7 linked regions of the Oryzias latipes genome follow. The protein of the gene in region 7 interacts with the protein of the main gene of each other region in a pairwise test. Links are inferred from orthologs where the notes say so. Each region holds a gene or a part of one and is shown on either strand. Other genes may lie near its edges. The genes, in order: rrp7a, gng4, ccdc146, sfr1, bmf, snx20 and tfip11.

Evidence for each region.
Region 1: the proteins of tfip11 (region 7) and rrp7a interact in binary tests that used the Homo sapiens proteins (3 or more experiments, as listed by UniProt). The link is inferred for Oryzias latipes from reciprocal best matches to the Homo sapiens genes TFIP11 and RRP7A.
Region 2: the proteins of tfip11 (region 7) and gng4 interact in a two-hybrid assay, tested with the Homo sapiens proteins (2 studies listed by BioGRID and IntAct). The two-hybrid records come from large-scale screens. The link is inferred for Oryzias latipes from reciprocal best matches to the Homo sapiens genes TFIP11 and GNG4.
Region 3: the proteins of tfip11 (region 7) and ccdc146 interact in binary tests that used the Homo sapiens proteins (3 or more experiments, as listed by UniProt). The two-hybrid records come from large-scale screens. The link is inferred for Oryzias latipes from reciprocal best matches to the Homo sapiens genes TFIP11 and CCDC146.
Region 4: the proteins of tfip11 (region 7) and sfr1 interact in binary tests that used the Homo sapiens proteins (3 or more experiments, as listed by UniProt). The two-hybrid records come from large-scale screens. The link is inferred for Oryzias latipes from reciprocal best matches to the Homo sapiens genes TFIP11 and SFR1.
Region 5: the proteins of tfip11 (region 7) and bmf interact in binary tests that used the Homo sapiens proteins (3 or more experiments, as listed by UniProt). The two-hybrid records come from large-scale screens. The link is inferred for Oryzias latipes from reciprocal best matches to the Homo sapiens genes TFIP11 and BMF.
Region 6: the proteins of tfip11 (region 7) and snx20 interact in binary tests that used the Homo sapiens proteins (3 or more experiments, as listed by UniProt). The two-hybrid records come from large-scale screens. The link is inferred for Oryzias latipes from reciprocal best matches to the Homo sapiens genes TFIP11 and SNX20.

What each region holds. Positions count from the first base shown.
Region 1 is NC_019866.2:20,063,838-20,067,769, reverse strand, and holds rrp7a (ribosomal RNA-processing protein 7 homolog A), read right to left. Parts: upstream 2,801-3,932; 5' UTR 2,757-2,800; coding exon 2,693-2,756; intron 2,555-2,692; coding exon 2,412-2,554; intron 1,494-2,411; coding exon 1,368-1,493; intron 1,073-1,367; coding exon 949-1,072; intron 867-948; coding exon 769-866; intron 683-768; coding exon 475-682; intron 387-474; coding exon 301-386; 3' UTR 249-300; downstream 1-248. UniProt on the Homo sapiens protein: Nucleolar protein that is involved in ribosomal RNA (rRNA) processing. Also plays a role in primary cilia resorption, and cell cycle progression in neurogenesis and neocortex development.
Region 2 is NC_019873.2:28,283,543-28,287,638, reverse strand, and holds the start of gng4 (guanine nucleotide-binding protein G(I)/G(S)/G(O) subunit gamma-4), read left to right. Parts: upstream 1-1,296; 5' UTR 1,297-1,664; intron 1,665-2,599; 5' UTR 2,600-2,607; coding exon 2,608-2,706; intron 2,707-4,096. UniProt on the Homo sapiens protein: Guanine nucleotide-binding proteins (G proteins) are involved as a modulator or transducer in various transmembrane signaling systems.
Region 3 is NC_019881.2:12,615,275-12,619,206, reverse strand, and holds the start of ccdc146 (coiled-coil domain-containing protein 146), read right to left. Parts: upstream 2,801-3,932; 5' UTR 2,657-2,800; intron 2,062-2,656; 5' UTR 2,021-2,061; coding exon 1,913-2,020; intron 1,744-1,912; exon of another isoform or gene 280-1,743; coding exon of another isoform or gene 1-279. Other genes in the region: fgl2 (fibroleukin), read left to right, coding at 1-279. UniProt on the Homo sapiens protein: Essential for sperm flagellum biogenesis and male fertility.
Region 4 is NC_019873.2:20,002,316-20,006,426, reverse strand, and holds sfr1 (swi5-dependent recombination DNA repair protein 1 homolog), read right to left. Parts: upstream 2,746-4,111; 5' UTR 2,491-2,745; coding exon 2,410-2,490; intron 1,921-2,409; coding exon 1,612-1,920; intron 1,534-1,611; coding exon 1,345-1,533; 3' UTR 1,181-1,344; coding exon of another isoform or gene 1,008-1,180; 3' UTR 916-1,007; coding exon of another isoform or gene 762-915; 3' UTR 683-761; coding exon of another isoform or gene 602-682; 3' UTR 501-601; downstream 1-500. Other genes in the region: cfap43 (cilia- and flagella-associated protein 43), read left to right, coding at 602-682, 762-915, 1,008-1,180. UniProt on the Homo sapiens protein: Component of the SWI5-SFR1 complex, a complex required for double-strand break repair via homologous recombination. Acts as a transcriptional modulator for ESR1.
Region 5 is NC_019880.2:14,506,836-14,511,135, reverse strand, and holds the start of bmf (bcl-2-modifying factor), read left to right. Parts: upstream 1-1,500; 5' UTR 1,501-1,717; intron 1,718-3,040; 5' UTR 3,041-3,219; intron 3,220-3,298; 5' UTR 3,299-3,325; coding exon 3,326-3,497; intron 3,498-4,113; coding exon 4,114-4,300. UniProt on the Homo sapiens protein: May play a role in apoptosis. Isoform 1 seems to be the main initiator.
Region 6 is NC_019864.2:5,678,299-5,682,314, forward strand, and holds the start of snx20 (sorting nexin-20), read left to right. Parts: upstream 1-1,216; 5' UTR 1,217-1,433; coding exon 1,434-1,491; intron 1,492-3,625; coding exon 3,626-3,759; intron 3,760-4,016.
Region 7 is NC_019867.2:13,548,756-13,552,826, reverse strand, and holds the start of tfip11 (tuftelin-interacting protein 11), read right to left. Parts: upstream 2,801-4,071; 5' UTR 2,672-2,800; intron 2,273-2,671; 5' UTR 2,271-2,272; coding exon 2,065-2,270; intron 1,986-2,064; coding exon 1,820-1,985; intron 1,739-1,819; coding exon 1,582-1,738; intron 1,473-1,581; coding exon 1,345-1,472; intron 1,215-1,344; coding exon 1,053-1,214; intron 820-1,052; coding exon 628-819; intron 517-627; coding exon 337-516; intron 194-336; coding exon 59-193; intron 1-58. Other genes in the region: srrd (SRR1-like protein), read left to right, coding at 3,142-3,284, 3,395-3,435, 3,523-3,701, 3,787-3,885, 3,990-4,071. UniProt on the Homo sapiens protein: Involved in pre-mRNA splicing, specifically in spliceosome disassembly during late-stage splicing events. Intron turnover seems to proceed through reactions in two lariat-intron associated complexes termed Intron Large (IL) and Intron Small (IS).

The sequences.
Region 1 (3,932 bases), on a different chromosome or scaffold from region 7:
AGATCGAGTCGTCTAACTTTCAGGTAAGAAAATTCTTTCATTAAAAAAAAAAAGGATTCTTTAGTGTGTCAAAGGTATCATATATGTGAATATACAAAGAATTAAGAAAAATATGATACAGGCCCTTTAAACTACTTTGATGCTTACATCAAATGATTGTGAAACTATAATTTTCTATATTTTCTCCCCCCAAAACTACCAGTACTTGAAAAAACGGAGTATGATAATTGAATTATCACAAAAACATCTATGGATCAATTGTTTATTAACAGTGTGGTTTAAACAAGACGTCATAAAGAGTCAGTAAGGTTTGAATTTTCTCTGCGCCCTCAGTAGAGCTATTTTCTGTTTGTCCTCTTCAAACTTCTTCCTCAGCTCAGCAATGTCTGTAAAAGAAGAGAATACAGTAAATGTAAGAAAAAAATACAGATGAACATTTTAGCTCCAGGTTACATTTGAACTTGAGTAACTTACGCTCTTTCTGTGTGTTTCTGTGTTGCCAGGTGTAGAAGTTTAGGAGCTCCTTCCTCCTCTTCTTCCTTTTCTCTTTCTGTAGAGTTTTCTCGTTGGCCGCCTCGCTGTGAGGACGAGCTTTAGCGCCCTTGTGCCCTCTGGTGACTTTCACCCAGCCTTCTTCTTCCTCTTGTTGCCGTTCAGCCTCTTCTTTCTTTTGCTCTGCTTCCTGAGAAAAAAAACCACAGGCCTGTGTTACAGTGGAAGGAACATTAATGAGTGCCTGAATCCAAAGTGGAGTGGAGGAATTCACACCTTTTCCTTACGCTCGTCGTAGCTCTGCATAAAGTTGTCAACTTTTTGCTGGAGTTTTTCTGGTTGGATGAAGGACTCTGAATACTGCTGAATCCATTCTGTAAAGGGCAGAGGCACCAAACAAGCGAGTCAAACAAATGATTTGCTGTTTTCCTGACTGCACTGAAAGGCATCACTTACTCTGTACGCCTGTTTTCACCGGACGCTGCTCAGTTGAGACCACCAAGGGGGCGTCAAAGGGATAAGACTTAACTGCTTGCAAACTTGAGGAGTTCTTGAAGACGATGTAACCGACTTTGAAACCCTAAAAGAGATGAAGGTTAATAAGTGATCATGTTAACAGTCAAAGATGCTGAAGGACAAATGGAGGAAAGATTCAAATCATCCCTGCATCTATTATTAATTAGTTTGGTTTATTTATTGTTACTTATGGAAACACTTTAAGAAGCTGGACCTAAAATTCTAAAGAAATTTAAAATCTGAATAAGGAAGTTAAAATGATGCTTCTAAACTGCTTCCTCCATATGCGACTCTTGATATCACAGATATTGCACAGCAAAGTAAATGAAAATCACAAAGACGAGTGCAGGAACACAAACCTGTTTCTCAGCTGGTCTGAAGAGTTTGGATATTTTGGGTCCAGATTCCTGAGATGAACCCGGGTGATCCCTCAACTCAACCGATTCAATGCCGCCAAACTGGGAGAATAATTCTTTCACAACAACCTGAAACAACACAATAAAGAATCAATGAGAGAGGTGGGGAGCCTAGTTGGCTCATGTCTACCGCACACATGGGGGACCCCCACTTCTCCTGGGCATCCTCTTCTTGGGCAGATGGGGGGTTGCCCCCTGCCTTGCTCTCTACTGGACTTCCCATAGGTTGGGCAGGAGCGTGGGGCAGGATGGGCTTTCTGGTGAGCATAAGTGTCAGCTCACCTTTGCACAAATAGTATGCGGGATGGAATGATATGCTTGACACGTGTTGGTTCGTATCCATAAGCATGTGCGTGTGAACTGCAGCTGTACTGTGTACGCATTTACGTGTTTGTGCGTGAAGATCTTTGGAGCCAACAGGTATGTTTGTAACTTTCCAGTGTGTCTGTGGACGGGCCCAGTGTTTAGTTCTAACATCTACACCTGGCAGTAATGATAAATCTCTAGCAATGTGTTGCTTTGCCACTGCGTCTACTTCTCTCTCCCCTTGTTTGTAACCTCATCCCCCATTTCTAACGTCCCACTCTGTCCTCTTCTTTTTGTTATGTCGCCACCCAACAGTTTAGCCTCAAATACAGAAGAGGTTTATACGAATATACACCTCGTGTGTCAGAAGATTCATATCCGTTTGCTCAGCTGCTGGATAGGACAAGTTAGAGAGACAAATAAAACCACAACAAAATAACCAAGAGTATTCAATGAAACCAAGGTAAGTAATAAACTGGGATTTTTTTTTTAATTTTCAGGTTGTTTGGTTGCAAAAAAGTAAGATCAAGCAGACTGAATAAGCCGCATAATGTAAGGCTTTATTCGCTTTACTCTTTTTAAAAGACATTTGAGTTGCAGATGTGAATTTTCTGTCAGCTGAGTCTGTGTAAGACAAAGAAAGACATCTCGGTTATTTTTTTATTTTCTCTTGAGGCTCACCTCTGAACAGTACGGAGGAATGTTGAGCAGAAACAAAGTCCTGTCCAGAGGTCTGTGAGAACTCTTCTCTGTGCGCACTTTGTGCTCCTTCACGTACAGACAATGACGAGCAGCGCTGCCGGAGCTGAACTGTAAGGAAAGGACTGCAGAAGCAGAACCATCAGTACAACGAACAAACGAGTGTCCCAACGTCCCAGACAAGAGCTTCAAATTTACTGGATATTCTAATTTCTATTTACAATAATTTTAGATATCCACATTTAATTTAACTTATACCATACCTGAAAACCCTCCAGGAATAACCCAAGGCTGGCCACTGGCATGTTTCGCCTTGGAGGGCGCCATTTTTGATGTGACGCCTAAACCGGAAGTAGTTTCGTTTCTAACTTTATTTAAAAGCCGACCCTGACAAAAGTCTATGAACAGTAGTTTAACCCTTGTGCTATCTTAGATGACCCCACCCTTACATTGACGTGTTCTCCCTACCATGACAAAGATGGATAAAGGTGGAAAGATTTCATGTAATCCATGGACACCAGTGAAGATCATAAATCATTGAATAAAAAAGGTTCAGCGCACGGTCTAGTGGGTCTAGATGACCCCACTCCCAATGTTAAAGTTTTGATTAGGAATTGAAAAACCATAACATGCTTTGTTTATGTAAATCTTTGTATGTGTGAAAAATTTGAATGTCAAATTAAAATGTTGCTGTGATTCCATCATATTTTGTTTGCAAATCCGTATTTGCCTTTTTGCTTCCCCCGTTTCCCGAACATTTGTTTAATGTTTTTTTCTAAAACATTAACCCTTGTGCTATCCTGGGCACTTTAACATTGGGAGTTGGGTCATCTAGACCCCACTAGACAGTGCTCTGAACCTTTTTTCTTTAATGATTTGTGATCTTCACTGGTGTCCATGGATTACATGTAATCTTCCACCTTTATCGTGGTAGGGAGAACACGTCAATGTAAGGGTGGGGTCATCTAAGATAGCACAAGGGTTAAACAACCCTAAGGACGCTTTTTTCCCAGCTTCAGGACTCACCTGACTGGGATGTTTTGGATCATCACCTTTGGCTGCACTGCTTTCACAGAAACCCTGGATGTCCATTCACTCATTTGTCAAAGATGGGAATGTGTTTGCTTATACAACTTGATGTTTACCACAAAATTATATTTGAGAAATAGTTATATTTAAAAAAAAAAAAAACGTAAGCATTTTTTTGGAAGATAAGACCTAACATCTTTCTAGCTGAAGTATCTCATTTATGAAACTTAAGACTTTTTTTCCTTCAGATTTCAAGGTTCAGTTGACCCAAATTCTACAAATAAATATAAAGTTTAGTTTTAGAGGTAATATGTATTTTTTGTTTGTTTTGTATTTTTAGATACAAATATCACAGAGAGAGGCAGTACTAAGTAATTGGATACTACTGTCATTTGACAGAAACAAAGGTTTCTGTAGTGATTTATTTGAAATCTCATGTTAGTCTTTTCAGTCATTCCAGTTTAAGATATTTTA
Region 2 (4,096 bases), on a different chromosome or scaffold from region 7:
GGAGGACGCTGCCTCTCTGAACCTGCCCTGACTCCTAATAATGCCACCCCCGGCTGAGCAAGCTCCACCCGCCCTTCCCAGCATCAGCAGTGATGAAAGTGTTATGTGTACATAGATCTATATTTATAAAAAGTTTGGATGAAGCTGCAGCAGACACTTTACACTAAACCTCTCTGTCGTCTTTTTGTTGGTTTCCTGGGAAGCTGCTAACCCCTGACCCGAAGCGTGTGAGGACCCGGGTCTGTCACTGCTCCTTGCTGGGGGGGGGGGGTCGTGCTCTGTGAGTGTGTGTGTGGGGGGGCTGTGTCGCGGCTTCACTTTGTGTCTCGCAGGAGCGACCGCACACGGGGGGGGGGCACCGTGAATCGGACCCCGTGGTTCTGTCCTCTGTGTTTTGTATGCCCCCCTGCCCCCCTCCAGCTGTGACATTTCCTCTCACGACCTGCATCCAGAAGCTCCACCCCCCCCCCCCCTGCTTTTCCGGTTTTACTGAACTTTTAACTCCGAAGCTTCTTCAGATCAATAACACTAATCTTCAACCCCCCCTCCCCCACAATGAGGGTCCACTCCTCTGAGGAACCAGTCGCACTTCCTCTTTGGCTGTTTCTGTGGATCAAACTGCACTTTTTATGAACCCAAAACAGCCATAATTGTAGTCTTAATTAAAGTTTTTATTGAATGAGACAAATAAACTAAAAGAAATGGTTTTCCCTCCGTCTTCTGGGTAAACCCGCCTCTGTCTTCTGTTTGTTTTAACCCTCTGTAGTGAATGATCGTCCATCGTTTCATAAGAAAGGGAACATTTCTCGTTTTCATTTCTTTCAGAAAGTTTGTTTTGTCCCTTTTCTGATCTGAACCTAAAGAAAATGTGACGTTTTTGTGTTTCTGTGAGAACGGGTGCAACTCCAACCTCCTGCTGGTCTTCATCCCTCCACCAGTTTTCTGTCAGGAAATGTGATGAAAGTTTTTATTATTTCTGTTTATACCTTATCTGTGCATAATTTAAGACCTGCTTGTGATCCCGGATTTCTCCAGACCAGTTTTTGTAGATCGGCATGCGGGCAGGAGGTTGTCTTAGGTTTTGATGTATATATATTTGCTTGTTTATGCACAAAACCATGTGATATTATAAATATATAAATATATAGATATAAAATATTTGAAGAAATATTACTAAACTTGTCGTGGTGAGTTTTTATTTATCTATTTCTGGTGAACTGCAGGTTTAACTGTCAGATTAATTGGATGAATAGGCGGAGGTGGTGCGTTTGGGGCCGGCTCGTACAGCGGAGACTCCCAGTGATCGAGTGATCTCTGCTCCACAGCCTGCATCTCATCGTCACACAGAGATTTCCCCCCCTGCTGCATGCGTAACATCTCTCCAGGTCCAGCCGTGGCGCTCACTTCGCCGCGCGCGTCTCCGCTTCCCACACGGATCACGCACGACTCACGCACAACGAACCGCTGAGGGGGGGGAGAAAAACCGCCAGGCAGGATTTACCTTCGCGGGTCGAGTCCGGCGCAGGAGCGAGGCTGGGATTTCCTCCCATCGATTCATCTCTTGACACATCCCTGGTCGTGCGCGCGTGCCTGCGTGCGTGCGTGTGCGTTGGGTGGAGTCAATCCGGAATTCTCCAAATTGGAAAACCGTTGGCACATTCCAGGTAGGTCGGTGGCTCCAAACCCGCGCGCGCCGCGCACGCGCTCCCACCCGAGAAATCTGCGGATGTGTCGGTGAAACGAAAGAGAAATGTCCGTTTCCCGGAGGTTGGGGGGGAGGGGGGGGGATCAGGGCCGCAGCCCCTCGTTTTTCTTTTTTTGTTTTTTTTTTTTAAATGACAGATCAACAATTAGCGTTTGGATACGGAGGCGCGCGGAACCGAAAAAAAGCCGCGCGGATGGAATGGAGACCTGCGTGGAAGGGAGGCCTGATGGCTTCCCGCGATGGTGGGATTCAAACCCCCAGCAGAAAATCCTACGAACGGGGGCTCCCAAAAAAATTCAAACGATTTTTACTCCATTTGATGCCACGAAACGGGAGCAAACCCTCCTTTGTGGGGGATGCAGCAGCAGCAGCCCACCTCTGGTGTTACACAATACATCTGCGGGCAGGTGGCCCCTCTGGCCAAAGTGGGGCAGATCAGGACTGAGGGGGTCAAAAGGGGGCCTGAAAGAATCGCAGGGTCTCTGCAGGGAGGCAGCTACAGGCTCTTTGGAGGAGAAAGGGAGAATCCATAGAACCTCCATGGACTTTGGAAATGCACCTGAGTCCTGTTTTTCAGTGCCCCCCCCCTCCCCCGTCAGCTCCTGCCCCGGATCACTGAAGGGGGGGGGGGGGGGGGGGGCAGAACAGTCATGCATGAGAGAAAAATGTCAAACTGCTGTCCAGCTGCTGCCTTCAAAGCTCTTAAGCTCTTTCTTCAGATAAAATGGAGCGTGGGCGCTGGAAACCCGCTTCTCCAGACAAAATGGGCTCTATAAATAAAAGGGGTTGTGGCAGAGATGGCTGTGCTCTGTGTGGAAGGGGAGGGGGGGCGGCATTACCTGACTTTCTCAGGTTCAGTGTGATGTTTACGGAGCCTGCTGTTTGACATCACAGGGGCCACCATGAAGGACGGCATCGCCAACAACAGCACGGCGAGCATCTCCCACGCCAGGAAAGCCGTGGAGCAGCTGAAGATGGAGGCCTGCATGGACAGAATAAAGGTACGCCCCCTCCTCCTCCTCCTCATCCTGTCACGCCAACGCTGGTCTTTCGTGAAAGGAAAGGATGAATTGTCCAAATGTTTGAGCTTCAGGGAAATTCTGCCGCCACCAAGCTGACCATACATATAAAAGTTGAAGATCTTTCTGCCCTATAGGGGTGGGCAACTCCGGGCCCCGAGGGCCGGCGTTTCTCCATGATCACCAAGCCGCACTCATGACTGATTACCTGGTTTAGGTGTGTCCAGCCAATTAGAGCATGCTGGCAAACATGCAGGCATGCGGCCCTCGGTTGGAGTTGCTCATATCTTGAACCATCGGATGATCAGACAGAAGTCTGAGCGTAGAGGTAGATCTTCAGGACCTGGATGGAGACTTTCACACACATTTAAGTTCAACACCAGACATTTTCTGCTGCTTTTCAGCATTCTTCTTCCAGTTTTTTGCTTTTTTTCACTCAGGATATAATACCTTGTACATTAGTTTGTTCCTATTTTGGACTTTAATTGCATAAAGGGAACTGACTCCTCCCCCCTGGCGTTCCAAACAGGAAGTACCCACGGGCTCCAAAATCCAATAGAAATAAACAGCTATTGGTCAGAATGACCATTCTTGCTCTGCTACAAGTTATAAAACTGAACAATCAGACGCCTCAATAAAAGTAGGTGGAGCCTGCTGGCCCCCACATCCAGTGTTCAAAACCTTTGACTGACAGATTTCATGCAGCCGATTTTCAAGTGGAAGGGGTGTGGCCTTCCAACAAGCTCACTCCTGATTGGAGAGACTAGTTGCCATAGAAACGTCGACTCAGGCCAATCACAACTGGGATTGATTTCTGCTTTGGGCTTCCTTCCTGTGATCTAGAATCGTATAGATGACATCAGAGGTCATCGGTCTAGTGGTCATATGTCTATGGGTTTCTTCACATGTGCTGGATTGCTTGAAGACAGATTTCCAGTCCTGAAAAGTTTCCTTGGTTTGGTTTTTCTGAATCAGACGGATGGGAGTCCGTTTGATTTCATTTAAGCCAATGAGAAAACGGAACAGGTGTGTGAGCGCTCTCACATGGGACGGCCTTAGACAGGAAGTGTTGCTGTGGATCCAAAGTGGTCAAACTATTGCCTGTAAAAACAATGCACGGCCCAACCCCTCCCTTCTCGTGTTTCCAAATGGGAAGTACAGTTGCTTCCTGAAACGGACGCCACCATGTTGAAACCAGTCGACAGTAATTGGTCGCTTTGAGTCGACAGGGATTGGTCCAAGTCGCTTTGAGTCATCCTATCTATGGCAATGGCGACAGTAGTTGCCATAGATACGATGACTCAAAGCGACTTGGACCAATCCCTGTCGACTGGTTCCGACATGGCGACGCCCGTATCAGGAAGCAATGGTG
Region 3 (3,932 bases), on a different chromosome or scaffold from region 7:
TTCAACCACGACCAGAAGTTGTTTTCCACGCCGGACCTGGACAATGACATGTACCCCTCGGGAAACTGCGGCGCCTACTACAGCTCCGGCTGGTGGTTTGATGCCTGCATGTCGGCCAATCTGAATGGGAAATACTACCACAAGAGGTACAAAGGAGTCCGGAATGGGATCTTCTGGGGAACGTGGCACAACATGTCATCCGAGTACTACCCTACCAACTACAGGCAGGCCTTTAAAACTGTCAAGATGATGATACGGCCTAAAAACTATGCTCCTTAGGTGGATATGATAACATTTCTGACTTCAGTTTAAAAAATAAAAAGAAATTACGTTTGTACATGTTTCCACAGCAAAAGAAGCCAATAAAAGCAGTACCAACAAGGATTGTTAAAAATCATAATGTTTTAGGAGTTTTTCTACCGTAGCGAGGTTGGTTTTCACAATAAAAGAGAATGACCTGTGAACAAGGATGACAATAGGAAAATACACATGCAGTGTGAAAGGCCAGCCTCCCACAAAGGGCCATAATATCACACGTGAGGTTAACACGAGCAATTTGTCATCCATCTGTGACATTTCTACACTTGCTGCCTCCTGCTATAAACCCAGCTGAGTCGCGGCGCAGCACACTCCAGCGGTAAAAACTAATGACCTATCATTTTCTCCGCTGTAAATGACTCCATAATTAACAGCAACCACCCAAGTGAGGTATATGAGAGTGGATGATATGTTTTCTTCTTTTTTCGGGGATATGAAATGAATCCAGAAAAGACATCCTGCTGTGAACAGAGTCCAAATGTTACATTATTTTTTCATTGCAAGCTGATCACAAGTTAACATTCTGGTGCCACTAGCTTAAACTACAACAGAGACAGCTTGCCAATGGATTATCTTCCCAAACAATATAAAGCGTGCTGCCGGAAAAGATTCCCCCTGTGAGTGCTACACGCACTGTATTATTGATTCTCTAGAAAATTGTTCCTGACAGCAGCTACTGATCATGACATTAAACAGTTCCAAGTGTTTTTCTAACCTTATTCCGAGTTCGACTATCTCTACTGCACACCTCTTGATGTCATATAACATTCTTTATCTGTAGGCTAACTCACTGTTTGTACAATACTGCTACCTAATGTTTGAAAACTGTACAGCATCATACCATTTTTTTAAACACACTGTGGATGGCAAAGACAAGACAAGAGGATTCAATCTAAGGATGTGTACAGTATTTATTTTGTTTTTGAAAGGTTTTATAGTGCAAATGCAGTAAAGTCCAATTATTGATGGTACTGATGAAGACTGTATATAAACTGTCATCCTTCTTCACCACTCTTGGTTCACATGGATGTTTTCTACGATGCATTTCCATTTGTCATAACCAAAAATATGCACTTTTTATACGAGAGAAATTTAAGTTTTTTTTGTTTTTGTTTTTTCTTGCTGAATGGAGTTCAGTTTTTTTCGTAGTTTAAAGACTCCCTGATGCCTGATCAGCTTTTAGTCTTCTGCTATGAAAACAAAAAGTGTACATAAAAATGTAAGTTTAGCATGTGATATTTTAAAGTGTGTCCGGTCTAGTAGAGAAGCCTGTAAATAGGAAGGATGAGGTGCTGCATGCCCTTAACAGATAAGTGAATGAGATGTTTACTCAAAGAGCGACAGACATTATTGTTGGAAAGTTATTTTAATGTCTATTTACTGTCTGTACTGGTTACTTTAATAAAAAAAATAGTTGTGCTTGAAATTAAGCTGTTTTTTAAATATAAAAAAAAAGTTATTGGTCAGAATTTCCTTTGCATTTACAAATCAGAGTTAGACAAACGACTTCTCTGGCACATAATATGTCATTTAAAACGATTTTATATGTCTGTCACTGTTGAACAATCTGATTGAAAGTGACATGACTCCTTACCTCTTCAAGATATTGAAAAGCAGGACAGGCAGAGACAGCGACGTTGACAGAGGGCTGATCTTCCTGGAGAGATGGATGAGGTGGAGAAGTGTTCCCTTGTTCCTCCATGCCTGGAGGCTTATTATCTTGTTGATCCTCAAACAGAATCTCTAAGGGAAAGCAAACAACTCTATAAATCTACACATATGATTCAACAGAGAATGCACAACACATTACCAGAAATACTATTCTGTAGTAAAAAGGGGTCTATAGGAAGTATACTTGGTATATAAAAGTGAGGCAGTGTACTTGAAGTCTATTTTTCTATACTATCTATATACTGTAAACATGGAATGTTCCAATTTATTTTGTATTCAGAAGTATACATGGTGTAGTATACTTGCTATACTTACAGATATTTAGTAAAATAAACGTTGGGTGCACTACTTTTTGCTAAGAGATATCTGTGCTTAGTCACACGCACAATTTGTGTAGAAAAGCAGAGCAAAAATGGTTAATGATGAGTATAAATTTTAAGTTTGTTATGTGCATTGATTTGATCCGGACGGTTGGATATTTTTTCGGTTGAATTTTTGTTCAGGCACATTTACGAACGCCACGTTAGCTTGAAAAGAAAAAGTTGAGCACGAGCGTTTCGGTTTTGCATACTAAGCTAGTGGCTACCGATTTGAAACAAAAAAAAACAAAAAACAAAAAAACACGAAAGTAAAAGTTTAAAGGTTAATTTTGTTCGTTTATACTCACGCCTACAAGACTTTTCCGCTTCTCCGTTTGCTTGAAGTTCGACCTCAAACAACTTTTAAAAGAGTTGACGAGACAGGCACACGCAGGCAGAGATTTACCCTCTAGTTGTAGCGCGTTACCATGACAACGACGCTGCGCGTTGTCTAAAAAAGACATAAATAAATGAACAGAACCCTAATACGTGTAGCACGTTAGCCTAAAGGTTAAATTGTTAAATTGGAAACACTATATATATATATATATATACACACACACACACACACACACAGACATAAACAGTTCTTGTCAAAGTGTTATGTCCATATTGTTTATCAATTAACTGAGTTAGTAAATTGTAAAGTGCAAACCTATGCAAGAGGTTGCAAGGACATTAACTTTACTACATAAATGCAAAAATTCCCAACTAAAGAACCATAAATTAGGATCAACAAAAATGTGAGTTTTTAGACAGATATAGATTTAATTATTGCAGCTGTTTAAGGGTAACAATATGGTGAATTGATACTAAAGCCTTTTTTTTTAAATAGAACCAGTTGACTTTGTTCTGGTAAGATGTCTTAAAATAAAACACCAAAAGATTAAATTAAATCTTTAAACTTGCTATAAAGACTCATGTTTTGGTATATTGGTCTGCTAATCGGAATTATATCTTTAAATAAGTGCGTATTGGTCAGTAAAATAGTTTTATATCTTTAAAAATTAGGAGGTTTTACACAAAAGAACGTATTTTTACACAGTTTCCCCCAATTATATCTTATTTAAATGCTACAACAGCCCAAATCCTTATTTTTTAGAGCACAAACATGTTAAAATGACTCATTTTGAGATACATTTCTTTAAAAATTACACATAAATATGTGTTTATTTTCAAACTCTTGTTCTGCCATTGCTAAATATATTTGAACTGCTGTGAGTCAAAAGAAGTAAATCATATCATGAAACAAGACAGCTTACCATTCACAAATAAAACTTGAGTAAAATATTGTTTAAAAAATCAGTGCGTTTGCTAAAAATAAGATGTTTTTAAGATCAAAAGACTCAAGATATATTGTCCAAAAAGTGTTATGTCTTACTAAAAAGTTCTAAGTATGTTAGTTTTGTCTTGAATCAAGTATAATCAGATATTTACACAAGAAACCAGACCAAAATACTTTGTGTGATTTAGTTTTGTTGCAGTAAAGAAGATCCATAAAATGATGACTGATTGAAGTTGGTATGGAAGAACTTGACGGGCCTGCAGAGACCTGACTTACACTGATAGAATATATTTGGAATA
Region 4 (4,111 bases), on a different chromosome or scaffold from region 7:
AACAGAAAATTGTTCCCATCTCCCAGTGCAGATGAATGATCTTTTATAGGAGACTCACACCCTTTTTAATTGACTCAGGGTTTTTTCCCCCTTCATTTGCTGAACTTAAACCTCTTTCAGTAGGCATGTCACTTTCTTTTATATCATTTTTTCAAAATCTGACAGATTGGTTTGTTTAATCAAATATAAGACAATTTATTTGACGATATGTAGCTTTTGGACACAGTCTAAAAGTTAAAAATAGTTTTGAAAGTTTGAGGACAAACACAAAAACAGACCAACTAACTAATTTTTGGCTTTATTTTTTAACAACCCAGAGGGTAAAATGGTAAGTTTCCAGGCTGCATTGCCAGTTTTCTTTGGCAGCAGGTACAGGTAGCTCAGCAGCTGTGCAGCGTTCGCCTTCCTGACATTGTTTGAACCCCATGAGAGAAATTTTGAATGTAGATAGATCTAGGCAGAGTGAGGTTTTACATTGCATGACAAATAGCTTTGCTGCATGTGTTTCAAAAGCCTTTATTGAACATTTGAGAAGAAGGGAGAAGCAAAAATGTATGAAACACTGTTTTTAATTAATGCGTTTCTCTTTTTTTATTTCCAGCGTTACAGCGAGTCAGAACAAGGCACTCGCATTTCACAGAAAGCGTCCATGTTGGAGAAAAACCTTGCTTTCATGACGGAGGTGACATGAAAAGTGACAAAGCAACGATAAACCAGCCTTTTTATGCTTTTTTTATGAACAACTCTGTTTACTTTTTCAGGCTCATCAACAGTGCATCCAGCAGTGTGTGAAGGAAATCGAGCAGCTTTATAAACAAGCTGACGTGAAAAGCAAAAAGACTTCTACTCTGGAGCTGCAGCTTCCTGACATACGGGTGGACGTGGCGCAGCTGAGACACGTCTCTGAAGCTGCAGGTTGGTTTCTGATCGACAAACATTCGCCAAACGCCGATTCCGTCATCCCAGACAAGCATAAATATTTATCTGCTTTTATTTTGGTTGTTTAGGCCCTGAACAAGAGCAAGCAAAAGCCAAAGAGCGGCACCTGGAGCTTGCTGTGAAAAGCAACTTGAAGGCTCTAGTCAAAGCTCAGGCTGAGGAACTGACAGTCCTTTTAGCGGAAGTTGAACGTCTAACGAAGAAGAACTTCACTTCAGTCTATCAGCTGAAATACAGCTGAGTGAAACATTTTTTTTTGTTTCTTAACTGAGCAAAAAGTTCTCTGTACATTAAATGTGCTTTTGCTGTGAAGAACCTGCAACAAATAAAGTGATTAAGAACCACTTAATCTGCTGGTACTTAAGTCGTAAAATAAAAAAAAACAGAAACAAAAAAAAAAACATGTTAAGTAGTGAAGTCCTCCTCCGGGCGGTCAAAGTGCAGAAAGTGATCGTCCAAACCAAAGAGGTCTATAAGCTCAGACAGATTCGCCCTTCGTCCGTCCACAGTGACATCTGACTGGAGTTCATACAGCGCGTTCTGGGAGCAACGCCTCCACTTGTCGATCAAAGTTTGAAGCTGGGTTAAATCATTCTAGGGGGAAAGACCAGAAAAGTGTTACGGCAAAGCAAAACGGTGATCCCCTGAAGATGTTTGAAAAATGGCTGGTACCTTGCTTCTGTACATCTTTACCATCTTGAGTCGACGTAGAGTCTCTGTTTTTTCTTTGACTTCTTTCCTGAGGTGCTGTAAAAAAGCTTCAGGCGTCTGCTCACTGCCTGACTGGGCTTCCCTTTTGTTGTCATTGAGTGGGATTTCTGCAGGCTGCCTGACAGCCTCCTTGGAGTCTGCTGACATGTGTGGCCCTTCATCCTCTGCATCGTCCACACAAAGGCGTTTGGCCACAGAGACAGGAGAAACAAAGGAGCGTCTGGATCTTTTCAATCTTTCCCTCAGCGAAGTGCTGAGCTTTGAAAAACACTAGGATGATACGAGGGGAAAAGAAAAAAAAATCACAGATGGAGTATTAAGGCCAGCATAAAAAGAGAAAAAAGTTAACATTTTACAAGAATAAAGTCATACAAATATTAGAAAAAAAAAATCTACATTATATAACTAAAAAATATGTAAAATTATGATTTAAAAAAATTATACATTTACATGAAAAAGTCGTACTTTTTCGAAAATAAAGTTGTACATTTACAAAAAAAAATCGATTAATTCGCTATGACATGATTTAAAAAATCTAAAATGTAACATTTTAATTTCAACACGCGTGACTTTTTACTTATAAGATGTAGACTTTTTGAAGCATAAATTTACAACTTAAGAGCTATTTTTTTTACTCATAATTGCATAACTTTATTGCCGTAAAATTTTCCCCTCGGCGTCTCTTTAGACTTTTTCTTTCATGGTGGACCTAACACTACGTCGTATGTAGTGCACCACACATCCCATTCAGTCACCTACTTTCTCTTCTCTGTATCCCGAGGGGGTCGACTCTTCTGGGCAGCAGGGTGATGAATACTCGTGTTTTGGAGTGACTTCCATCCGTCAGATTTAGCATGAAAAGTCTGTTTAGCTGCGAGAATAGCCTAGCTTAAAGTTGAGAAAACGCTCAATATATCTGACTCGGCTGAAATAAGAACGAAAAAAATTAGAGGCACTATAACAAAGTATTATAAACCATATTGAATTTTTATCAAAGACATTTCCATGTGGAAAAATTAAGCTGAGGCGATGACACCACAGTTGATCTTGTTTTTCCGTATTTTTGCGGTTCTAAGTCCTGAAGATCAATGATTGGACAGAAACTGATTACGTTTAGCCGAAGAGGATTCTGGGATATGAAGTTATTCCTCAAACGCAGTCGCACATTTAACTTGTTGGCTTTAAGATGGAATAATTTTACTTAAACATCATATTTAAATGTACATATATATAAAAAAAATATGAAAAAAAGAGAAACAAAATAATATGTGGCCTTAAATTTTTTTGTGTGCACACAATTTAGCATTTTTTTGGGCAATTAATTTGTAATTTATAAGCATTCTGTGTCCACAGTATACTTATTTGTTGGCACAAAATTCTAATTAATTCATAGGCCTACATAATAGCCTGCTAATTTGTGCACACACAATTTCTAAGCCAACAAATTTGGCTAGTACAGTAATTTGAATTATTTGTGTTCACAAAACAGTAACTTTTGCCTACAAAATGTTAATAAAAAGCAAAATTTTGGTCACGAGATGCAAATTTGTGTGAACGCAATAAAAAAATTCGAATTTGTGTGCACAAATTGTTAGTTTGAAGGAACAGTTTTTATTTATTTATTTGAATGTCATGTCTATTGCCCTGTAAAAATATGTTAATGAACAGAATTTTCTTTTTTTGATGAATTGCTTCATGGAGAAAACAACATTTTTTTATAAAAAAACACAAAGGAAGTTTTTTCACACATGGGATTAAGTAGCTTGTTTCTTCTTATGAAATTTGATCAATACATATTTTTAATAAAATTAAAAAATTGTTGGTAAACTATTTGTGTTTACATAAGACACATTTAAATAATTATAATTTAAGTAGTTTAATAATCAAGTCAGGCAAAACAACTACCATAGCAATGGGAAAGAGTGTTTTGCTCCAAAATTCAGAATATTGTTAAAGAGATTTTTTTGTGTGGTGGTTATCTGGAGTTGATTCATGTTGTGATTCACCTTCCCTCATTAGCTGATTCATCGGTTTTATAAGTCTATAGCTATTTTAATCTTCTCACAAATGTGGGATGGTTCTCTTATTGTGTGTCAGCCTTTATAGCCACGAGGAGAAAGCTGTTATACCTTCAAATGTGGTTGTGCCCGGACACGAACATTAGCAACTCATTTGGCAGTGTGATATTACACACCCCAGGGAACAAGAGATTTTTTTTAATACTCCTTGTAAGGACAACTGAGGGAAGGGTAATTGCTATTTGTGTAAGTTAATGTTTTTTGCGTGTAATTTTTGCTTTGTGAAGTCGGCATTAACCGTGGCATGCAGCAGCTGCTGTGGGTTTATAGAATCTCCAGGCCATGTGAGATAATGAGAGTGCCAGATCTTTCATCAAATGCAGGACTGGCCACTAAACATTATACATCCTTAAGCCATTTTTGGGTCAGCTATTAATTCCTTC
Region 5 (4,300 bases), on a different chromosome or scaffold from region 7:
AAATTACATTCCAAATGAAACTAGTCTACATAGGAAGTGAGCATCTAACATAAAAGGGTTTCATCCGATTGGTCCAACGCATAAATGGATATATTTGATTTGCTAAATACTTCAAGCTGCCATAAGATTGTTTTAGCACATTTAAAGTAACAATTTGTTGCGATTATCGCCGTCTTTTCCGATATGCATATCGTGCAATATACATATCGGAAAAGATGGCGATCAAATTTATCGTTTTCGCGATATCAAGCTTGATATCGCGAATACGATAAATTTGGGATTTATTGTGCAGGCCTGGATACCAATTACTGATATTGATTACTGGTAATTTCTTATTTGTGATTTTTTTCCCCCCAAGCATATTATTTTTTATCTTAAAAACAAATACCACTGAAAACTGTCCAGATAACAACTTTAATATGCAAGGTTAAATAAATACATAACTGTTCTTTTTTTAAATAATGCACTTAAAGCAGTGCAATGATTAATTTCTCCTCCATGTTCAATTTTTAAACAAGTGGGACCTCTGTTAATTAAAAAAGACGCCATACCTTTGACCCTGATTGGTCAAAGTTCAACTGGTTTAACTTTCATCATGTGTTCAAATGCCAGGCATTTTGTAGATACAGCCCAAAAACAGACTTAAAATCTTGCATTGTTGAGTGTAAATGTTAGTTTTGAACATGGAAGCCCGAAACGCGCATATACGCACGTTTATGTAGACCTTTCAGTTGAAGAGGTTGCTTTTGTATGATGGTGTGAACAAAGCAGAAGATACACAACTCATGGTTCCTCTGGTCACGTGACTGATAGAGCAGCTTAATATGCTGTCTGCTGGGGGTGTCGCTCACCTAATAACCAAGCAAAATCTAGAAATGATAGATACACTTTTATTTTCTCATGTATTAATTAGTAATTGATAAATTAATAGAGTACTCAACACCCAAATTGCTAATATATGGGTATCTGTATTTTGACATCAATTCTCCCATAAGTTGGGAGGGACTTTTTTTCTAGAAACGCTTGTCTTCTTATAAAATAGACTTGTTTTTGAAATAAAAATTAAAAAGTTGTTCTAAAATAAAGTGGAAAAAACTTTAAAAGATGTAAATATGTTTGACTTAAAAAAAGAGTTAAATTTGTTTAACGTAGTTCAAAAAATAAAACACCGGGTTTTAAATAGTCAGTTCGGTTGAAAATAAAATAGAAGCTAAAAAAAAGATCAAGCTAAACCATATATGGCAGATTTGTCAAGCAAATAAAGCATTATGCCTCCACTGCTATGGTTAGAGACCAAGGCAGCGGAGGACAGACAGGCCTTCTAGCACATGAGCTGCGTAGTAGCGTGAAAGCGGTCTCGTGCTCCGGGGAATTTCCCGTCCACGTGTCTGAAAACACCGCGGCAGCGGCGGCATATAAACAAAGGCAGCCATTGGCTGGCGCGCGCGCACGTAAATCATCCTCTATTTACTAAAATTCAGCTCCCGCCCACTTGGCGGAGTCATCTCAGGCTGACGTCGGCGAAATCAGTCCGACCGTGGCAGCGCTCCTCGCAGAATGGAAGTAGTCGTTGAGGAATAAAGTCGTTTGACTTAGCAGGATTTTAAGACTTGGAGTCCTATTTTTTTTAGAAGTTTCTTTTATTTTATTGTTTAATTTTCGCCACATTTAACCCCAGAGTGCAGGACAAGTGTTTTAAACGCCGCCAGTCTTCTCGGTAAGAACAGCCTCCAAACGTTCAGCCGCTTTATTAGCTTTAACGAACTGAAGGGAAACTTGTTGTTGTTACTTGAAAAAGACGCAACACAGCTTTTTGTGGCGCTTGGAAGCGGCGCGCGCTTTCGCTGTGCTCTTCTGTCGTACAGTAAGATTTGAAAAACACCGGCTTTCCCGGCTGACACAGCACCAATGAAGTCAGCGCGGCCGGTCTCTGTCATGTGTCTGCACTTTGTTGTGTGACAGTCACCTTTTTCAACAGAAAACACTCCGTAAAGGCATATAAGCACGCAAATAACCGTTTATGACGACATTTCCGCCCTAAACTTTTGTTTGTAGCAGCAAACGTAATAGGTTGGTTTACTTTTTTTCTGTTTGTGTGTGTGAGTGACCCTATTAGGTTTCGATTCGGAATTAAATGCCCTCAACTGCACCTTTTGTCATAAGGCAACTTTTAGTTGTTGTTTTTTTTAATTGAAATTTTGATAACGAGAGCAATATTTATCAAGTTTGTGCCACTGATAGCTTAATGTTAGAATGAAGAGGGTGTCATGATGTTTATGGGCATAGAAGATGCATCTACCGTGGAGCTGTTGCTCCAAAACAAGCCCACTATAATTGACTTTTGTATTAAAATGCGCCCCCACCAGCAGGGGGAGCCACTGCATGACATAAAAATGTTTGTAGTCAAAATAGCAGAAAATATACATTTAAAGTATTTTGCTGTTATTATTATTATTATTTTTTTATATTTAAAAAAAAAGATAAAGTTAGACTTCCACGTGTTTGAGTCTTAGCAGACAGGAGCTGAGTGGAGTTTAAAAGAAAAGTTCAAAAGCTGTCAGGGAGAGTGGTAGGACTTTCCTCAGAAACTGTCATTCCCTCTTAGCTGTGATCCCTCATTTGGAAGCGTGATACCAGTGTGACCCTGTATTTACAACTCAGTGGTAACTTGGGTTTTGCTGCTGAGGCAAACATGAGTTTCACCCATGTTTTGATAACTTCTTGACACAGATTCAGGGAGTGAACTCCAGGATTCAGGGTGAACTCCAGGGCATCAGTGACTTTAAGAAATTGCTTTAGTTTTGTACTTTGTATACCCAGTTTTTGGATTAATGTTTTTCATTGAAATAGAGAAATAATATAAGAACTCAGTCATTCAGGGAAAAAAAGATAATTTTACGTTTTCTTTTACCAAGTTAACCAAGCTAGCTTCTATGTTACTGTGGCTTGATTGACTTCTAACCGCAGTGAATTGTGTGGTTTATTCACTGAGCTGAACAGACTCATTTGTTTAAATAAACGCTGAGCTCTTTACTTCCAGAGAAAGCAGAGCAGTCGTTTCATTTCCCCGTCCACCGTGGTTTCATTGATCGGAGCTCGCTCCATACAGGCCAGACAGGTTGTCTATAATGATAATGAGTGCCTCGGAGGAGAAAAAAAGAAGCAGATAATGAATGCGTCTGAGGTCATCTCTCCAGATCTGACGTAGATTTATTCAAGGTTTGTTAGAGAGAATGCCCTTGGTTTGTGGTGTTGCCCACAAATGCGCTCATTCTCTATTCGCCATATCGCTTTCAAGGTCACTCGTCTTGCAGTGCCCCCCCGTATGGACGATGAGGAAGACGATGTGTTCGAGCCGGACCCCAACAAGTGGCGCACGACAGCCAGGAAGATAAAGTGTGAAGACCGGGGCACGCAGACACCCGGTCCTGCCCTGGTACCAAACAACGGCATGCTTCTCTGTGGACTTGCAGAGGAGCCCAGACCACTTTTCTACGGTGAGGCTGATGACACACCGTCTTTCAAAAGCAAAAAAAGGGGAACATCGCCTGGTGTGTGATAACCAGTTATAAAACTCCGGCGCAGAGGCATAATGTGACACTTGATGTGATAAAAGCGCAACAGTGTTGCAGCCCTGAGCTCTCCCCTGGCGCCTGGGAGTCGTCATCAAACTCAGTTTTTTATGGCCATTGTGGCGTGTTACCAGCTGCTTTGCTATTCAGAAGGCGCCAGGCCGGCTTTGGGACAGGTGAGCACTGTGACAGCAGTGCAACAACTCCTCAGATAAATCATTATCAGTAGCAGCAAAGCTATGTTGGTGCCATATATGAGCAGTCATGCCGGAGTAGTTCCATAACAACTAACTGCTGAAGCCCTTTTGGGTGTCAGTGACCTATAAAACTATTATGTGCAATAAAACCACAGCTGGGGAAATTGTTTGTCAGCCGGGCAGCTTGTTTATCCAAAGAGACATTAGTCATCACTTGGAGTAAAAAAAATCTTGGTACCTGACATAAAGAGAGGTCTGTCAGGTTTCAGTTCTGTGTTTAGTTTAGTTTTTTCACCGAACACGTTGTTTACGAGATATTAAGTATCAGCTTTGACACTCAACAGGTAACGCAGGTTTTCGATTGCACTTCCCAGCACGCTTTGAGCTTGCTGGGGATCTTGAGGTGAGGCGGCACGACAGGGAAGCAGAGCGGCGCGGGATGGAGCGGCTTCCCCGGCAGCAGCCTGTGGCACGCAGCACGGAGGCCTGCATTGCACAGAAACTCCAGCTGATAGGGGACCAGTTTCACCG
Region 6 (4,016 bases), on a different chromosome or scaffold from region 7:
TTGCCATAGATACATTGACTTAGATCGACTGGTTTCAACATGGCGGAGCCAGTATCAGGAAGCAATGGTACTTCCTATTTGGAAACATGAGAAGGGAAGGGTTGAGCTGTCCATTGTTTTCACAGTCAATGATCACGACACATAGTGGTTTCATCTTATGTGTTTTATTTAGTTCTGAGTGTGTGCTGGGTCGCCTTGCTCTGTTGTGTCACGTTGTGTTCCTGTGACGTGACCCATGAATACTTTCTGCTGTCAATCAGACCTGAGATGTACCAATAAAATGATTCTCTGGAGCTGCTGTCTTTGTTTCTGTCTCTGAAACTTCATAGATTAACCCTTGTGCTATCCTATGACCCCACCCTTACATTGACGTGTTCTCCCTACCATGACAAAGTTGGATAAAGGTGGAAAGATTTCATGTAATCCATGGACACTAGTGAAGATCACAAATCATTGAAGAAAAAAGGTTGAGCGCACTGTCTAGTGGGTCTAGATGACCCAACTCCCAACGTCAAAGTGTCTAGGATAGCACAAGGGTTAACCTGTTTCTGTAATAGTGGCCTATAGAACATCAGGCTGTTGTAGGTTCTGCTCCCTTTGAACTTGAACCTTCTCTGTTGGTCCATCTAGCATCCAGAGCAGGTTGAATTCTTGTCTGACTGAGAAGCATGAACTCACAGGAAAACAGGGTTGTATCAGGAAGGGCATCTGGCCTAAAAAATCTGTTGCTGATTCGCTGTAGTGAGCCCTTAAGGAAATGCCCAAAGTAAACAACTTGATCAGTTTGACTTCAAGAAAGAAGGAAGACTTAAAGTCCAGATGACAAGGCTCATCTTCAAGACACACTTTTTAATGTTCTCAGTGTTCTTTGAAAACTGAAAAAAAGGGACACTAACCCCAGAATCAGGAGTAGTTCAGCACCTTGTCTGAAACAACCAAACCAACATTAGCTAACTCTGTCTTATATAAATACCAAGACCAGGCAGAGCTGGACACAGACAGTCTGAAATCACAGAGGACCTCCCAACCTCTAATCTGAGGCCAGCACATGAAGAACAGAAACTTAAAAAGGTGAAGGGGGGTCAGAGAAGAATCAGCAGTTCAGTTCTGCCTTGAGGTGTCCGATCCTGCCCACAAACACACTTCCAGGGTCAGTCCCTGCCTGGCCCATCCCTCTCAGCCTTGCAGCAATCTCCACCCACCTGCTGCAGCTATAAACACGTTTGTCAGTTTACTGGCATGCTGCTTTCACTTCCCCCTCTGCCTTCTGTCTCAGTGAGTACAATAACTTCCTCCTCCACTCTTCTGTCACATTCTTACTGCTCTGTGGGAACGCTCAATTCATAAACTAGATATAGTCTTGAAACTGGGAGCCCTTCAGTCAGGATGCAGCAGAACGCTTGACTTGTGCGTCCTCTCTGGGTTTGGTCCTGATGGCAGAACCTCCAGGGGGCGTTGGAGACCCGGCCAAGGTCAACTGGCTCGGTCCAGGTACGTCCTTTCATTTCCCTCTGTTCAAGGGAGAGTTTCTGTTTCTTCCTTCTCAGAGATGTAAGCATCTTAGAAACTCCCCGTGAACACGCTGAAGCCTCCAGCTGACATCGCAGACACACAACAGATGCACAAGCCTCCATCTTTGTAGTTCCTAGACCTTAATTTTTGCAGAAGAAGATTTTCAAATTTCAGGATTAGTTTTTACAAGTAAGGTATTATAGCTCAATCATCACACACACACGTGGATGTATGTATGTGCACACACACAAATACATATACACACAAATATGCACACACACATAAACACTTTCACTTTGTCTGTGAGTTGCTCACCTCTTCCATCTAACCGACTCCTCTGTATCCTCCTCCTTCACACCAACCTCCCTCATCTCCTCCTTCTCTGCCTCCATGATCCTCCTCTTTGGTCTTCCTCTCTCCTCCAACCTCAGCATCCTTTTCCCAGCATCATCACTGCTCCTCCTCTCAACGTGTCCAAACCATCTCCATCTGCTTCCCTGCATTTATCTCCAGAACATCTACCATGATCTGTTCCTCTGATGGATTGTCCAAAACTGACTGTCCCAAAGAGAACCTCAACATCTTCATCTCTGCTTCCTCCAGCTCTGCTTCCTGTCTCTGCATCAGAGTGTCTGCCTCTAAATACAGTCCCACCTGCACCTTCAACTACTCTGCTTCACCTCCAGAACATCTCACCTCTGTCTTACAGCCCTCACACATGTCCTGATTGAACCACTCCAACCTTCTTCTCTGTCACTCCAAACTTTCTTCAGCTGAACCACAGCTCCTCTCTCTCTGGATTCTCTAGTAGACTTCCTATATTGGAAGAATATCCAGTTCATCAATATCAGAGGCTCTCTTTTCTCTCGTCCAACCGTGCTTGAAGCATAGCTTGAGCAAAAGTTATAGATGTGAAAATTGACAACTTTCCTCACTGTTACGCATTAATGGACGGGGAGTGGGCAGCTGGTGGACAGACATCATTACTCCCTCCCAAGAGCAGCCTTAACCCTTGTGCTATCCTAGGCACTTTAACATTGGGAGTGGGGTCATCTAGACCCACTAGACAGTGTTCTCCCTACCATGACAAAGGTGGATAAAGGTGGAAAGATTTCATTTAATCCATGGACACCAGTGAAGATCACAAATCATTGAAGAAAAAAGGTTCAGAGCACTGTCTAGTGGGTCTAGATGACCCAACTCCCAATGTTAAAGTGCCTAGGATAGCACAAGGGTTAGAAAAGCCACGAGGTGCATTCTTTTTGCTGCTACTGTTGCATTCACTGACTTAGGAAGTTCTCTTTCGTACAGAGAGATATCAAGAACCGTGTTGTTAAGAGGTGTTGAGGTGGGTTTTTTTTTTTGCTCAGTTTCTTCTGTTCAGTTTCTTCTGTTCAGTTTCTTCTTCTGGTCACGTGACCAGTTAAGGGTAGTGTGATGACAATACCACTTCACTGTTCTTGTGCTGCCCTCTTGTGGCAATCCCTGGTTTTATATGAGAAATTCATTTTTTTCTTTAAGCTTGTCCCCGTCACCCCTACAGAACACCTCACCACTGTCTTACATCCCTCATTCATGTCATGAACAACTCCTAACTTCTTCTCTGTTACTCCAGACTTCCTCATAACATACCGCAGTTCCTCTCTGGGCATCCTGTCATATGCTTTCTCCAGATCTACAAAGACACAGTCAGGCCTTCTCTGTACTTCTCTATCAACATCCTCTAAGCAAACATTGCATCTGTAATGCTCTTTCTTGTCATGAAACCACACTGCTGCTCACAAATATTCACTTCTCCTCTTAGTCTAGCTTCAACCACTCTTTACATGACGTGTTCTTGAATCCCTGCAGTAGTTTCTCCATGTAATATTGTTTCTTTCTAGGATCTTTAGTGCTGTCTGCACGCAGTGTGTGGTACTGCAGTTTTCAGAGCTCTCTGATGATAAAGTAGGCCTAACTTTTTTTTTTGCTCTTAGGGTTTCTAAGATTTAAGAGTTGTTGTGGGCATTAAAACAGCAGAAAACAACAGTTTGTGTTTATATTTATGCGGTAAATATGAAGCGGTCCATCATCCATATCTTCGTGTGTGTGTGTGTTTGTGTGTGTTTGTCAGGTGAATTATCTAGTTTAACCACAAGGGAACTGCAGCAGAACCTGCGACTGGAAAAGCGCCGCGAGCGACCCGCCCAGCTGCTGTTTGAGATCCCGTCTTCTCGTATTGTCCATCAGTCTCTAGGCAAACATGTGGTGAGTCTCCTCGGAACTTCCAGAACTTTTGTCTTTACACTGTGGAACCAAACACGAAAACATGCTAACGGAGGCCTGCAGAATTTGATGTGCAGCTGTTGGGTTCTATCACTTTCTCTCTTGGAGATGATTTTAACTTGCATAGATTGATAATTAGCAGCAGTTCCTCCCCTGAGATCTTTGCTATGTTCCTCCTCTCGTTCCCACACAGCTGAGTTGTTCCCCAGAGGTCTGCTTACCTTTACCTGCCTCGGATT
Region 7 (4,071 bases):
TCCCCCCCACAGAAATAAAAGCGTAATAATTTAATTAGAATAATTAAAAAAAAAAAACCTTTAGAGGCTCCCATGAGTGAAGTTTCTCCTTAAGTAAAGGATGAACAACTGCCACAGCCAGGTCTGCCAATCCCATCATTTTATACTCTTCATAATAATCTGTTTGTAAAGTCTCAAAGATCTGGGCACACTCCTGGGCACAGAGAGGTGAGAAAATAAACAAATAAGTATGTTCAAAATGATTAAATGTTAGAAGAATGGAGATTAAAAACCATTAGGAACAAATAAACTGCAAGATAAGTACATCTAGTTTGGGTATTTTCATGTGCCACGTACCTGAAGAGTCGGTCCCTCCCCTGGTGGCGTCTCTCCAGAGGGAAAACGCTCCACCAGTGCCAAAACAGCCTCCATTTTCTGGATGGCATCTTGCTCTGCTTCTAGTCTGCTCTGCAACGCACGGGACTCATGACTCAGAGAAACGACCACGTCCTTTTCATGCTGTAGACGTCTGGCCGACTACAAAAGAATAAATAAAGAGAGCAGAAGAAAAAAATTAAATCTGGAAGCCCACTTGAAACGGGTTAATAGTTGAAAATGATTTGAAAGAATTTCAGATTTTCCTCTGACCTGTAAAATGTCCTGTTCTGTGAGGTCGATCAGCAGCTGAAGATTATGCTCAAGCTCAGGGAGAGCGAAGCCGGAACCCTTCTGATCCCGTGTGGACATGGCTGGTGGGGTTTCATCGGGAACACTGTGTTTGTTGGCTATCTGACTGTAACTGTAGTAAACCTTTGGCTCTCTTACAGTCATATCTATAACCTAAATTTGAAGAGAGATAAAAACAATTAATAAAAAGAAAACTTGAATCATTTTACTTCCATGGCCATAAAAATCTTTCAATTTATTTCAGTTTTATGCTGAAAGGAGGAAATGTAAAAAAAAAAAAAAAAACAAGTAGATGCTTGTGAAGCTCTTTAAAATATTAAAGTTTGTGGTTTTTTTCATTGTTCTGACCCGAAATTAAAAGGACATAACGCAGGATTTTAACGCACCTTAACCTGCGCCAACTCTCCTGCAGATGCTGCCATGTTCCGAGAAACCATTTTGCCTTTAGCCCTCAGCTCATCTGCAGTTCTGTATGAGTATTTTGGTTTCTTCTTGACTGCGGAGCCCGCAGGATCCTTTCGCCACTGACCCAATTCTTTTTGAAACTCCTACAACAACACACATTACAGGAGAAAAACAAGAAGATAATTTCACAGTTAGCCCTCAATTCTTCAGATACACAATCACTGTGAAAACAAGATTATATGGAGTAAAGAACTGCTCGTGGCAAAATCTCACCTTTTCCTCCTCTTCTTCAGAGTCAACCACAGGGAAGTCCTGCAGACTCTGCTGGGTTCTCTCATTGCCATATGCACCTACAGCTCCTTTACCTTTACGGACCTTTGCCTCAATAGGGTTTACAATACCTACATAAACAAAACAGAGGCATGGCAATAAAATCTCTATTATTTTCCCTCTGAAATGCATGCAAAAGCACAATCGTGTACAGTACTTTTCCTCCTTTACGCTGCCTACCTTGAGCATTTTTTCCAAGCCCCTTTCCAGGCTGGTAACCCATTTTCTGCAGAAGCTTCTGTCCAATTCCTTTTGTGTGCTTCTCCCAGGTTCCAATACCCTGTCCAGATTGTATTCCACCAGCAAACCTCTGGGACTGATTCCCACGAAAATTACTCTGACAAAACAAAGAAATTATAGACGTCAGTTTAAAAAGAAAGCTTTTTTAGATAAAATATGTTCTTAAGCGAAACTTTACCATCTGAAGTTTTCTAGGTGCAATTCCACGAGTAGGAGGGGGAACTGCAGGGGCATCCTCTTCCGAATCATCAGAACCTTCTTCTTTGTCTTGCTGTTTCTCCTCGGCTGCAGTTTTACGTAGACCGGCACTAACAAAATTCACTGGGGTGCTGTAATCTTTCGACCTAAAGAAAATGTACACTGTTAACATCCTCTGCAAAAATTTTCACATTTAGACATCAGAGCATCAAACCTGTGAATTACCTCTTGCCACCAAAGCTGGGTCTCTCATCTTCATCTGAATCTTTGTCAGCCCAGATCCCATAAGTGGCCTGCTCCTTGGTCTGCCTAAACCTGCGGCGTTCTGGGTTAAACTCATTGGCCAGATCCCAGTCTGTCACCTCGAAGCTTTCGATCTCCACACCTTCTTCCTCTTCTTCCCTCCGCCCGTAAAGATGGGACATCGACATTTCTAGATAGAGACCCAATACAAAAAAAAATCATAAAAGCCATACAATTGAAAAACATTCAAGTTGCTTAAAAAATCGTACAACAGCATGAAACCACAGTCAGCAATGATTGCTAACGCTAGCTAAGCACGAAGCTAGCCACAAAACTGTTTCGGTCACAAACAATTATCAACATAAATATCAACTGTATTGCACATTTGTATGATTGAAAGCGTAAAAATACATTAAGAAGTTTCAAGCAAAAAGGTATTAACTAACAGAACTCAGATATTAATAATGCAAATGATGAGATTTTTTAGCGAAATCTAGCTAACGATAGTTGGGACATTAAATCCCATTACGACTGCAGAAACATTTCGAACTTGGAAAGTAGAAAGGCACTTAATACAAACAAAGCTTACTTGACAAGAAATAGTTTATACACTTAGAGATTAATTAAAACTCATTCTTGGCTGTCTGTAGCAAGAAGAGGTTATCTGTGTAGCTTTTCGTTCAACGCACGAACGTGGAAATACTTCCGGGTAAAGTCTGTCCGTCAGTACTGACGAATAAATGTTGTGACCTTAAAACTTTGAGATTTTACTTATTTTTATTTGTTTGCATTTACTAAAGATTTGTGTTGGTTTTTATATAAATTTCTCTAAGTTAAAACAGCAACACCACACATTTAGGTTAATAAATTATGTGATAAAAGCTTTTATTTTGGCGTTACACCGGAAGACAAATGTGTTACACTTAAAACCGTCCTACGCGCTGCTGATTTTGTGGCGGAGGTGATTAGGGTGTTTGTTTTTTAATTATTATCACTGTTTTTTTTTCACCCCTAACATTTTATTATAGATCGTTGAATGATGGGAATGAGATAAAAAAAATGTCTGAAAGTGAGTGGCAGGTCGCTCGGCGTCGAAAAGGGCAAACAAGGAAGTTTAAATCTCATGTGCCTTTAAGTTCCACCAGCGTCCAAGAAGACCAGCTTGATGTCGAGAAAGTTGTCAGACGGATCAGGACCACTGTGTAAGAAATAAAATAAAAAAAACGGAAAACCACTCATAAACATAGTTCATTGTGCCTTATCGAGGGGAAAACTAATTCTGATATCTCATTCTTTACTCTCTGTCTCATAGGACTGAGTTGAGATGCGAAGAGTTTTGGCACAAATGGAAAGGTAAGTAAAACATAACCAAATTTTTTAGACATGTTTTTTTTATTTAGTGTGTAATTGAATTGTAACTCTTATGTTCCTCGTCCTCAGATGAGCTGCTGATGGCATCCACAGCATCAGCATCTGCAGAGAAGGACGTCACTGAGGAGCATCTGAAGAACACAGGTGATCAGCTGGAGTGTGTGTGTTATGGCCTTGGCTCCTTTTCTTCTTGCACTGCAGCCCGGTATCAGCTTGCCATGCTGCTTCTGCTGCTGGAAGTATTACAGGTCAGAAGAGAGCATTAGACTATGTTCTAACAAACATGTGTTATGTTTGTTTTGAGTTGCTCATTTAGTTTTTTTTCTCCTAAAGGTTTCCTTAAGGGATTGCTTGGTTTATGATCCCATATTCTCCTCTGGAGAGCAGGATGTCTTGAGGGAGCTGGGAATGACTGTACTCACAGAAAACGAGGTCATGTCAATTGTTTTTCTTTTTGCACTTCTAGAGAACAAACTGCTGATGTTATCACCGTAACTGAGATCTAAACAGACTAAAGTATCCGCTGTTTTATTTAGGAGGGGAAGCGTCTGGTGACCAAGCCCACTCTTTTTTATCTCATGCACTGTGGGAAGGCTCTGTACAACAACCTACTGTGGA